3 linked regions of the Ovis aries genome follow. The protein of the gene in region 3 purifies or fractionates together with the protein of the main gene of each other region. This does not show direct contact. Links are inferred from orthologs where the notes say so. Each region holds a gene or a part of one and is shown on either strand. Other genes may lie near its edges.

The links.
Region 1: the proteins of PIDD1 (region 3) and CASP2 purify together in Homo sapiens (affinity purification with western blotting; 5 studies listed by BioGRID and IntAct, with this or other methods). This does not show direct contact. The link is inferred for Ovis aries from reciprocal best matches to the Homo sapiens genes PIDD1 and CASP2.
Region 2: the proteins of PIDD1 (region 3) and RIPK1 purify together in Homo sapiens (affinity purification with western blotting; 3 studies listed by BioGRID and IntAct, with this or other methods). This does not show direct contact. The link is inferred for Ovis aries from reciprocal best matches to the Homo sapiens genes PIDD1 and RIPK1.

Annotation. Positions count from the first base shown.
Region 1 is NC_056057.1:107,909,689-107,913,331, reverse strand, and holds part of CASP2 (caspase-2), read right to left. Parts: intron 2,196-3,643; coding exon 2,067-2,195; intron 1,916-2,066; coding exon 1,825-1,915; intron 1,741-1,824; coding exon of another isoform or gene 1,676-1,740; intron 1-1,675. UniProt on the Homo sapiens protein: Is a regulator of the cascade of caspases responsible for apoptosis execution. Might function by either activating some proteins required for cell death or inactivating proteins necessary for cell survival.
Region 2 is NC_056073.1:49,697,929-49,701,671, forward strand, and holds the start of RIPK1 (receptor-interacting serine/threonine-protein kinase 1), read right to left. Parts: upstream 2,560-3,743; 5' UTR 2,300-2,559; exon of another isoform or gene 2,129-2,299; intron 1,852-2,128; exon of another isoform or gene 1,202-1,851; intron 467-1,201; exon of another isoform or gene 205-466; intron 1-204. UniProt on the Homo sapiens protein: Serine-threonine kinase which is a key regulator of TNF-mediated apoptosis, necroptosis and inflammatory pathways.
Region 3 is NC_056074.1:46,946,886-46,950,622, reverse strand, and holds the end of PIDD1 (p53-induced death domain-containing protein 1), read right to left. Parts: coding exon 3,635-3,737; intron 3,548-3,634; coding exon 3,422-3,547; intron 3,151-3,421; coding exon 2,971-3,150; intron 2,892-2,970; coding exon 2,744-2,891; intron 2,661-2,743; coding exon 2,525-2,660; intron 2,445-2,524; coding exon 2,294-2,444; intron 2,214-2,293; coding exon 2,090-2,213; intron 2,019-2,089; coding exon 1,900-2,018; intron 1,823-1,899; coding exon 1,709-1,822; intron 1,606-1,708; coding exon 1,406-1,605; intron 1,193-1,405; coding exon 934-1,192; 3' UTR 592-933; downstream 1-591. UniProt on the Homo sapiens protein: Component of the DNA damage/stress response pathway that functions downstream of p53/TP53 and can either promote cell survival or apoptosis.

The sequences.
Region 1 (3,643 bases), on a different chromosome or scaffold from region 3:
TGGATGTTCACTGGAAGGACTGATGTTGAAGCTGAAACTCCAATACTTTGGCCACCTGATGCGAAGAGCTGACTCATCTGAAAAGACCCTGATGCTGGGAGAGATTGAGGGCAGAAGGAGAAGGGGACGACAGAGGAGGAGATGGTTTGATGCCATCACCGACTTGATGGACTTGAGTTTGAGCAAGCTCCAGGAGTTGGTGATGGACAGGGAGGTTTGGTGTGCTGCAGTCCATGGGGTCGCAAAGAGTCAGACACGACTGAGCAACTGAACTGAACTGAATTTCCATCTACTCAGCCAATATTTATGACGTGCTACTATGTGTCACGCAGTGCCCTGGGCCCGGGGATATAGCAGGGACACAAAAAGAGGACGTTCCTGCTCACACATACTCTTTTTCTCAGCACTGCTCCCTGTAATCATCCTGAAAAAAAAAATCATCCAATTGTTTCTTACTTGTGCTCCCAATAGTTCTGTACTATTATCTGTGAAAGCCCAAAATCTCAGCTGTGGCTGCAGGTTTATGATCACTAGGATCTGTCTCATGTGGTCAGCCACATCTCACTACACGTGACTGATGCAGATGGAGAACCAGGCATACTTCTGGCTCAGCCCGCTTTGGGGCAGGGGAAGGGGTATCCTTTTCATCTTGATGTGCTTGTCACACTGCACTCCTCCTCTCCCTGAAAGGCTCTACCTGGTATTCCACTGCTGTGCTCTGCTAGGCGTGTGTGCTAAGTCACTTCAGTTGTGTCCGATTCTTTGTGATCCTGTGGTCTTTACCCACCAGGCTCCTCTGTCCATGGGATTCTCCAGGCAAGAATACTGCTATACCCATGCAAAAAATACACTATTTGAATCTTTGGAAAAAGGGACCTTTAAATCAAACTGTAAGTCTCTTAAGGGCACAGACCATGTTATAACAGTTAGAGCTGGTATTTTGTGAATTTACCATGAGCCAGGCACTAAGCTAATATGAACCACTTTCATGGAACCACTTCACTTAACCATCACAACAACATGACCTTAGGACGTGTGATTACCTACATTTTATACTGAGGAAACTAAGGTGGAGGGACATGGAGGAACTCCTCTATAACTTCACATGACTAGTCAGTAGCAGAGGCAGAATCTGACTCCACGTTCAGAGCTTTCAATCATTACTCTTTCCCTCTGTGATGAGAAGCACACCCGATGTCTTCTGAGCGCAATCAGGGAGTCCTGGCTTTTTAAGGGATGAAGAGAGTGCATGCAAGAGGGATGGGAGGAGCTCGCAGAAGAGCAGGAGCCAAAGGCTGACATGGGGCCTCCACACTGCTCTCCCGCACGACACAGGAGGGGCCCGGAGAGGAGAGGAGGCGAGAACGGGGCGTGAGGGAGAAGAGGAGGAGGAGGAGAAAGCAGAAAGGGAGAGGAGAGGCAGAGAAAGAAAAAGAGGAAGAGGATCAAGTGAGAGGGTGAGGAAGCAGAGCAGCTGGCAGACCCTGAACCAGAAAGAGCGATGAGAAAAGCGCACCGGGGTTAATAAGCACAGGGAAAAAGGAAGCGTCCTCAAAGAAGGCGAAGGCACTGGCCGAGAGCGTCCTGGGGGCGGACGTGGCGGTGCGCAGAGAGCTGACCACCTGAGAGCCAGGGGCGGCCCGAGTCCCAGCACACCCCATGCGTCGGGAGACACTTACAGAGCAAGAGAGGCGGTGGCAGCAGTGAACAGAAGGAGGTGCCCAGGGGGTCCGCTAGCACCTGAGAGGAGCAAATAGGAAAGTGAGAGCGGGTGGGAGGCTGCCCGGGGGCCACACCCAGGTGCCGGTCCGCCGGGGCACTCACCTCCACGGCAGGCCTGGATGAAGAACATTTTCGGTTTGTTCTGTAGGCTTGGGCAGTTGGCATTGTCAAAGAGCCGAAAAACCTCTTGTAGCTGCCGGAGAGAAATAAGGGAGAAGAGGGGGTTGGTGGTCAGTGGGACCCCCGAGTCCTGTACACACAAATAGTGGCCATCCCTGGAGAGACGGGCAGCAGGAGGTGGCGTGGCCCAGGTTCACCAGCCGTGGCCACAGACCGGCACGCACCTGGAGCAGTTTGCCGTCCACGCCGTAGACGCTGCCCTCCACGCCGTGGGAGAGGAGCGCCACTATGCAGGAGTCAGTGACTCGGTGAGCCGGGAGCTGGGCAAAACTCTGCAGTTTCTCTTGCATTTCCTAGGAGAAAGATGCCTTTCAGGGTTGCTCCCCAGAGTCAGCACCTATACAAGCTTCCTTTTGGTGTCTGAAGCCCTAGGCTATTAGAAAATCAAACGTGTCTTCTACCAAGTCAGAAGCTAAGTAAGCACGAGAAAACTACATGACTTTAGCAGGAGACCCAGGTTCAATCCCTGGGTCGAGAAGATCCGCTGGAGAAGGAGATGGCAACCCACTCCAGTATTCACGCCTGGAAAATCTCATGGACACAGGAGCCTCGTGGGCTGCAGTCCATGGGGTCACAAAGACTGAGCAACTAACACTCACTTAGACGAAACACTGAATATAATGACTCACAGGCTCATTACAAGCTCATGTGAAGAACTCCTGGAGTGAAGCCAAGTTACTAATGAAGCTAATCATGCAGATGCTAGTTAACTTGACCCACTCTCCAGGCATCAACCAGCTCTTTCTTCAGCGCATGTGCCCTTGTACGTTAATGGCACAAAGGGGACCACCAGGTAAACTGTGAATGAGTAAGTAACACGCTTACAAGAAAGTAACAGCCGTTAAGAACTGCTCTGTGACCACGGGCTCACAGGATCATGACAATAGAGGACAGCAGTACTTCTATGCTGTTTTCTGTCTCAGAAATGAAGTTCCCAGGGACAATGATGACGTCTGTACAAAAATACTTTTGCTCACAGAAGAACACACTCTACAGAGGACTCTGGACAGGGTCATGACTACCCACATGAGCCGGTGGATCAGAGAGACCTAGGTTTAACCCCTGGGTTCATAAATTAGAACAGGTTCTAATATCCACTTTGTAAGAAGACAATTAAGAGTAAATTTTCTCTGAGTTTGTAAAGATTAAATGAAACACTGCATCCATTGCTGCTGTTGTTTAGTGGCTAAGTCATGTCCGACTCTTTTGTGATCCCAAGGACTGTAACCCGCCACACTCCTCGGTCCATGGGATTTCTCAGGCAAGAACACTAGAATGGGTTGCCATTTCCTTCTCCAGGGAATCTTCCCAACCTAGGGATCGAACCCAAGTCTCCTGCATTGGCAGGTGAGTTCTTTACCATTGAGCCACCAAGGAAGCCCCGAGATATTGCATAGAAAGGGCTTATCACTATGCCTGGCACATACTGCAAAGACCTGCCTTCATACTGTGCCTTCTAATGAAGGGTAGCAATATTGTTTTTCCAAAGAAACACTGTAGTCCAGCTTAAGAATCTTTTTGATCTTGCACTAGACTGCCATATATGAGTAACACTCCTAAGCATTTGCTCTATACAATGGAAAGTTATAATACATCTAATAGCATAATTATACCAATGTGATACAAACTGTAAATTACGTCTCCCTCTACAACTCAAAATGTCTAGATTGTCTCTGAGATGAGCAGGGAGAAAATGAGTTTATTTTGCTATGAATTTGACCAAAATATAATGAAGAATGTG
Region 2 (3,743 bases), on a different chromosome or scaffold from region 3:
ACAATGTTAACACTTAGGGCAGTAGTTACTGAGAGGTGGAAGCAGCCAGCAGGGAAGGAAGGAAGTGTCGGGCGTGAGGGCGATACTTGTCTCTTCTTAATGTTCACTTCAGGACAATTAAGAGAGTCAAACAGTTATGATGTGTGTTCTTTTCTGTGTATCACAATAAATAATTTTTTTAAGTTAAAAAAATTTCATATTTACCTTTAAGTGGTTGAGGGCGATTTTTTTCAGTGTTTCAGTGAGGACCATACATGAGGAGTCTGACAGAAAATGCTGGCTACCCGACTATCATGACCCCCTTTTCCTCTGCACATGGAACTCTGTTTTTACTCAGGCATCCAATGGGAATTTCTCAAGGTTCTTTGATTTTAACTGCTTGATGCTTTGCCTCAGATAAACAAGAGCTCTGAGCAAGAGAGAAAACTACAAGAGTTCAACCCAGTGTATCTTGCACATGATGACCCTGTGAAGTACCAACTTATTAATACATCGGTTCCAAGTTACAAACTGAGAAACTATAATTTGGAGTTTAATGATTCACCTAGAGTAACAGATCCCAGAATTGAGTCTTAATGTCTTCACTCAAATTTCCACTATCAGTTCAGTAACACATGCTACTTCTCCAGAGAGTAAACAATAATTTGTCTTCCTTAAAATCAGATTCAAAGACCTAATCTTACAATTTTGCTCACCTATACTAAATAAGTATGCTACATTCAGAAACATAGGGAAAGTACAGACTAAATTTTAAAAACATATGAAAACATGCGGTTCAAAATCAATATTCTACAGGTTAACACGATCATTTTTGCCGAAGTATAACGTCCAACCATAGCATGGGAAGCTGTGCTTTTTCAAATTCCCAGCTCATACTGGTGGTATTACCATGTTGTTGATTAATAAGCATCCAAGAGAAATTTTCAATTTTGGAAACTGTTATTTAGGGATATTTTTCTTTATTCTCGTGAATATTCACAATCCTGAAAGTGCAATGTATCTGTGGTGCTCAATTCAGCTCAGTGAAGCATGCAAATTACAGTTAATCATGATAGTTGTTTTACCAGTAATAATAATTACGATGATGAGATACCTCAACTGCTTTAAACAAGCTTCCTCTTTCCCTTTTGTGTTTAGAAGGGGGCAGTTCCCCATACTTATAATTGACTACAATCTCCTCCCCACTCTTGCACCTACGTACCTGATGGTTACAAAACGTAGATCAAGGAAGAAGTCACTCCTGCCTTGATTTCTTCATGTGTGAATGGAGGGAGAAGTAATAGCGGTTCTATTGCAAAGTCGCTTGAGTGTAACGGGCCTCGGGCTTTGTCCAGGACACGCAAGAGCTCCGAGCAAGGAAGAGCCGAAGGAACAGCGAGAGACAAAGTAATGAACAGTAACCCCGCCTCTGTGGGAGGCTGTCCAGCGTGAGCAAAGAAGGGTGGCGCTCACCCTCTTCAAAACTCTAAAGAGGCTACGAGAGCGTGTGCGCGCTCAGTCACTTAGTAAAAGCACGCGCCACCGGGGGACGACGCCCTCCCCGCCGTGCCCGTCGACCCTTCTTTCCCAGCTCTCCTCGAAGACGGCGCGGGAAGGCGTCTGACGGCGTCGCGAGCAGCGGCGGCCCCGGCGCCCCCGTGACCCGGGGCGGCGAAAGCTCGTAACGACACCGCAGGGAAGACCGGCCACCTCCCCTGACACCACAGCGCAAACCACGTGGCGGGCCGTCTCCACCTCAGGCAGTTATCGCGCGGGAGCCAAATCTCTGCCCGGTCCCGCCAGACCCAAACTCCCGGCGAGACGAGACGCCGCAGGGACCGCCGACGGCTGGCAGTTGGGCGCTCGACTTCCGGGAGCTCGCGGGCCACGCCCACCCTCCTACTGGCTCACCATCTGACTTCCGGGAACTCGCGGGCCACGCCCACCATCCTACCGGCTCACCGTCTGACTTCCGGGAACTCGCGGGCCACGTCCACCACCCTAAAGGCCCACCGTCTGCCTTCTGAGAACTCGCGGGCCACGCCCACCACCCCACTGGCCCACCGCCAGACCTCAGGAACGCCGCGGGCCACGCCCACCGCCCGAACTCCGGCAGCCGCGTCGCCCGCCCCACCCACCGGAAGCAGAAGCCCCGCCCCCTGCCGGAAGCCTGCCCCAGAGACTGGTCTGGGCCCGGCGGTCCCGCGCTGACGCACCGAGAGATTCGCTTTCGCTTTCGCGGGAGACTTCCTGAGGCCCCAGGCCGGGTGAGGAAGGAGGCGGCGGGGCAGCCTAGAGTTGCTCCGACGCCCGGCAGTACCTGGCCGGCGCAGGCCGGGGTGGCACGCCGGGCCCGATTAGGGGTCTCCGGGGCGGAGCCGTCGGCTGGGAGGCGGGCGGGGACCGCCCCGCCTTGCCCTGCCCTCACCGCGCCCGGCTCCGCGGGCCAGCCGTCCGTCGCGTGCTGTCCAGTGGTCGGCGCGCTCGGGCTCCTCGCGGAGTGGGCCCGCTGGGGCCCCGCGCTCCGGGGTCAGCGCTCCGGGACACCGATGCGGTGTCCGCGCCGCCGGCGCTTCGACTGAGGGAGCCCGGCCGGCGGAGGGCGTGGACTGCTCGCTCCGCCTCCGCTCCTGCCCCTGAGGAGGGTGGGGAGAGCGCCCGCCCCGCGTCTGGAAAGGTCTCCGGGCCCGTTCTGAAACCCCGGGACGCGCTCAGACTGAGGATCGTGCTCTCAGAGCGGTTTGGGAGGCCGAGAGGACAGAGGAAATGCCGAGTCACGGAAACCACTCACAGAAACCTGCCGGGCGCGGCGGGCAGGGCCGGAGACGATGGGCTGCTTCCCCGGGGGATTCTGAGCTCTGCAGGTCAGCAGCGCGGGAACCCTAGGCAGCAAGCTCCCAGGCATTTATCTCCTTCACCTGTGAAGTGGGGATAATCTCTTCTGTGGGGCTGCGGAGGAACCAGCATCATACGAGGATGGTTGGGAAGTCTGAAGCAAAATGGGAAATGGTTGCTATAGTGTTATGATGAAAAGTTGATTATATATATAGCATGATTACATACTATAAAAAGATATCTGGAGGTAATGAGATGCCACAAACTGAGAAAATATTTGCAGAAAGCATAGCTGATAAAATACTGTTACCCAAAGTATACTAGAAATGCCAGAGAAGGAAAAATGCAATTGAGAAAAGGCAAAAGATCTCAACAGACTTCTCACGATACAAATGACAAGTAAGTATATGAAAAGATGCTCAATATTATAGGATATTAGGAAACTGTGAAAAACCAATGAGATGCCACCACATATTGTCTGCCTAAAATAAATGGACTGCCAACTATTTCTCTAGCATAAACAAGTTTATTATGAAAAGAATTGCAATTTGAGGTCTGCCACCCTGGGAACTTGCATGCAAATGGAGAGGACACCTTTATGGGGGAAAAGGAAGTTGGAGAGATGTTTTAAAAGTCCACTGCTTTTCATGGGCTGAATCATTGCCGGGGAAAAAAAAAGATTTCTGCTAGAAAAGATTCTCCAGCCTTTCTATCTCCTGACTCTTTGAGATTTGTTTTTTGTGTGTTTGTTTTTTACATTTCCCCCTTTTGATCAGAATCTCTCAGAAAGCAGTGGTGATCCAAGTGTGAGATTTTTGTGTGTCAGTGACTTCGTATCTCAATGCCAGGGAGGCCCTTTCCTTTGTACAATTTCACATCCGAGGGAAAGTGTGGATTGCAAACCTATTGAGGTTCCATTTGAGTAACAA
Region 3 (3,737 bases):
GCGGGGAGCGCGCCCGGCACCGCCCGGGGCCCGGCCTCCCACACTCGGGCGGCAGCGGATCCGAGCATCCGCCGGCGCGGGCCCCGCAGAAACCGCCTCGTCCGGGCAGATGTCACTTCCCACAGCCGCCGTGGTGCCCCTCGACTCCGCGGCCGGGCTGCACTCGGGTGGGCGCAGCGGAAGGAGCCGCCAGGGGGGCACTCACCGCGCGCTCTGCCGCCGCTGCCGCCGCCTCTGCCGCCGCGCTGGCCTCCCCGCCTCGCCGCGCGCGCGGCTGCACCTAAGCGCGGGGGCGCGTCCGCTCGGCGCCGCGCGCGCTCCGCCCCCGGCCGGCGGTTGGCTCGCGGACTCCGGCTCCCCCTCCTGGCCGCCCGGGCCACTGCCCTCGGCAGGCCCCAGCCCGGCGCCAGCCGGCGCTCCAGGTCTCCACGGGTTTTCACTGGCCGTTCGACCTCGCGCCGGTGCATCGGCCAGGGACTACTTCCGTCGGGCCAGCGGATGGGGGTGCGCTGGGACGAAGTGTCCCTAAGGGAGGAGCCGTGGGAACTGAATTGGCCAAAGCGGGCCCCCAACCAAAAGGCAGATGCGCCATCCTGCACACGACTGTATTCACGGGGCAGCAGCTGTTACTTTGCAGCTGGGACTCCACTCCCTCCCTGAGATCAGGACCCAGTGCAGGCCGTGGGCGCAGACCAGCGGGAAGGAGAGCTGTGCGGAAGGAAGTCTGTACCCAGGCCCGCTTGCAGCAGAGCAGGGCCGGGCCTCAGATCACCTGGCCGCCCCTGGCGTTCCACCGGCCTCTCCACCCGAGAAAGTCAGTGCTGAGACAGCGACCAGGCAGTGTATGTGTGTTACACCGGTGGGGGTCACTCTGCTCACACGCAGGGCAGGTTTGAAAGCGGGAGCCTCAGGGTCCAGCCCGAAGTCCGGGGTCTAAGCCTGGGCAGGCTCTGGGGAAGGTGACGGCGACCGGTCAGGCGAGGCGAGGTTCCTGGGGGCCAGGCTCGTGTGACGGATGCCCTCTTGGTACTTGCGGCGGCCAAGCTCCAGGACAGCCCGCACCTCTTCGGCCACGTCCCGCCGGTCACTCTGCTCCAGAGCCTGCACGAGGCGCCCCGCGGCCCCCGGCTGCCCAGCCTGGCGCTCCGCCCAGGAGAAGAGCATGTGGCGGACCTGCCCATCCAGGTCATCCCTGGGGGGACAGGGGAGCAGTCGGGGGGCCCGCCAAGACCACCCGCCGAGCCGAGGGCCTTGCTCTCCCTCCTGGCATGGGGCCTTGCTCCCTGGGCCAGGGGCAGCCAAACCCTTCCTTTCCTGCCCGTCTGCCCTGCCCTCCCTCCCCTGGACGGAACCTCAGCCAGCCTCTGGGGGGAAGCCAGCAGGACGAGAGAGGCTCAGAACTGACCGGAACTCATGCCGGATGCGCTGGAGCTCACGGTAAGGCAGGCCCAGGTGCAGGGCCACAGCTGGCCAGTCAGGGCCCAGGCGCCCGGCCACATTCAGCAGGTTGCTCTGGGTCAGGAAGCCAGTCTCGGCGTCGCCCAGGTTCAGAGGTGCCAGGGAGAGGCCAGGCTCCCGGGTCGGGCCCTCGCATCCCCGCAATCTCTGCGGGCAGGTCGAGGTGGCAGTGAGCCCCGGCCTCACCCCAGCCCACCCCGGCGGCTCCTCCCCCGTCCCCTCCACACGGGGCTCCCCAGCCAGGCCTCACGGGCAGCTTGATGGGCAGAGTGGCCATCCACAGGGCAGCTGGGCCCCTCTTCTGCCGGGCAGCCTCTGCCTCCTCAGGCACTCCCTCCGGCACCTCGCCCCGGTAGAAGGACACCTGGGGAAGAGGAGAAGGTGGGCTTCGGCGCTCTGGCTTTGGCCCGGGCAGCCCGGGGCGCCCACTGCATGGCCCACCTGGCCCCTCACGGCCCGAGCCCGTCGGTCCAGGGCGGTGGTCACGTACACCTCCTTCAAATTCTTCAGGTGGGAGTAGAAGACAAAGCAGAGCCTGCCCTCCACGCAGTCGGGGCGGTCTGCGGGCACAGGGGGCTCAGCGGGGGCGGGGCGCAGGCCCAGCGCCCCGCCCCCGGGCGCCCGGCCACACCTGCGTCGATGTCGATTCCCCTCTCGAAGGCGGCGAAGAACTTCTCGCCCTCAAACATCTCCACGGTGTCCGAGGGCTCAGGGCCGCGGTATCGCTCCAGCAGCCGCCGCAGGGTGGCGTCCACCTGCGGGGCGAGGGACCCGCTGGCTGGGAGGCTGACGCCCTGCGCCCCTGCCCCGTCCCCCGGCCCTCCGCCGCCCCCACCTTGCTGCGGGGCAGGCACTGCAGCAGGACCTGCTTGGGGTCCCGGCGTCTCTGCAGCGCGATGAGGTTCACGCGGTGCAGCCGCAGCCGCTCCCAGGCCTTCTGCGCCAGGCTCCCCACGCAGGCCTTGGTGGTGTACCAGAGCCAGTACCTGGAAACGCGGGGGTGAGGGGGACCCTGCAGGCTGGGGGGCGGCTGTGGGGAGGGGGCCGAGGAGGTGGGGGCACTGACCAGGAGAAGCGCGTGACCCGGAAGCGTGCGTACAGGTGCGTGAGCTCCAGGGCCACCTGCGCCGTGACGTCGTCCCAGGCGGCCGCGGGGGCAGCCCGATGCAGCAGGTGCAGGCGGGCACGGTCCAGACTCAGGCCTGGGGGGTGCAACGGCGGAGGCCTCTGGCTGGGGCGCCCCTCCTGATCGCCGCCCCCGCCCGTGCCGCGCCGCTGCCCTCACCTGTGACGCCGGGCGGCAGAGGAAGCTGGACAGTGACTGGCCGGAGGAAGCTCGAGGGGCTGCTCTGCGAGAGGCAGAGCAGGGGGCTGGAGGCCGCCTCGGGCTCCCCGAGCAGGGCCTGCAGCGCTCTGCTGCCCACGTGCACCACCTGGAGCACACAGGCCGCCCCTGCGGTCACTTCTGCGCCCGGGCGCCTCCGCCACCCCAGCGGGCGTCCCGGCCCCCACCTGCATGCGGACGCGCCGCGGCTCCTCGGTGGCCCCCGGGGGGAAGGTGACCCTGACCCCGGCGTGTCCCGAGGAGCACAGCAGCGTCCCCTCCGGCGGCACCAGGCGGGCGTCGGACACAGGGCGCGAAACCACGAGGAACCAGGAGAAGTGGGGCACCTGGCAGTGGGCCCAGAGCCGCTGGCGTGGGCGCAGAACACAAGGTCAGGGCCGGCAGGGAGCGTGGGCATGGGCGCAGGGCATGGGTGAGGGTCAGCGGGCCGGGGCCGGGGTGGCGGGTCGGAGCAGGGCTGCGGGTCAGGGCCAGAGGGCGTGGGCGCAGGGCATGGGTCAGGGGCGGCGGGCTGGGGCAGGGCTGCGGGCATGGGTGCGGGGCACAGGTCAGGGCCGGCGGGCTGGGGCGGGGGACAGGTCAGGGCTGGCCCTCCCCGATGGCCCAGGCCACCCTCACCGTGGGCGCCTCCTCCTCCAGGCAGGTCTCTAGGTCGCTCCAGCTGTTGCCACTCAGCGTCCTGACCACCACCTCGCGGCAACGCCTGGCCCGCGGGGGCACGAAGAGCAGCCACAGGCCCACCTCCTACCAGGCGAGGGGGGCGTGAGCGCCGGGGCACGTTGGGCCCTGCTCTCCGGGGCCCTCGCCCACCCCACCCTGCCCCGGCCGTGCCTGCTGGAAGGCCGCCCCGTGGGGCTGCAGCTCTAGGACCCCGCTGAGCAGAGCGTCGTGGGGACCCAGGGGCACGAGGCGCGGCTCCGGCGGCCACAGGCGG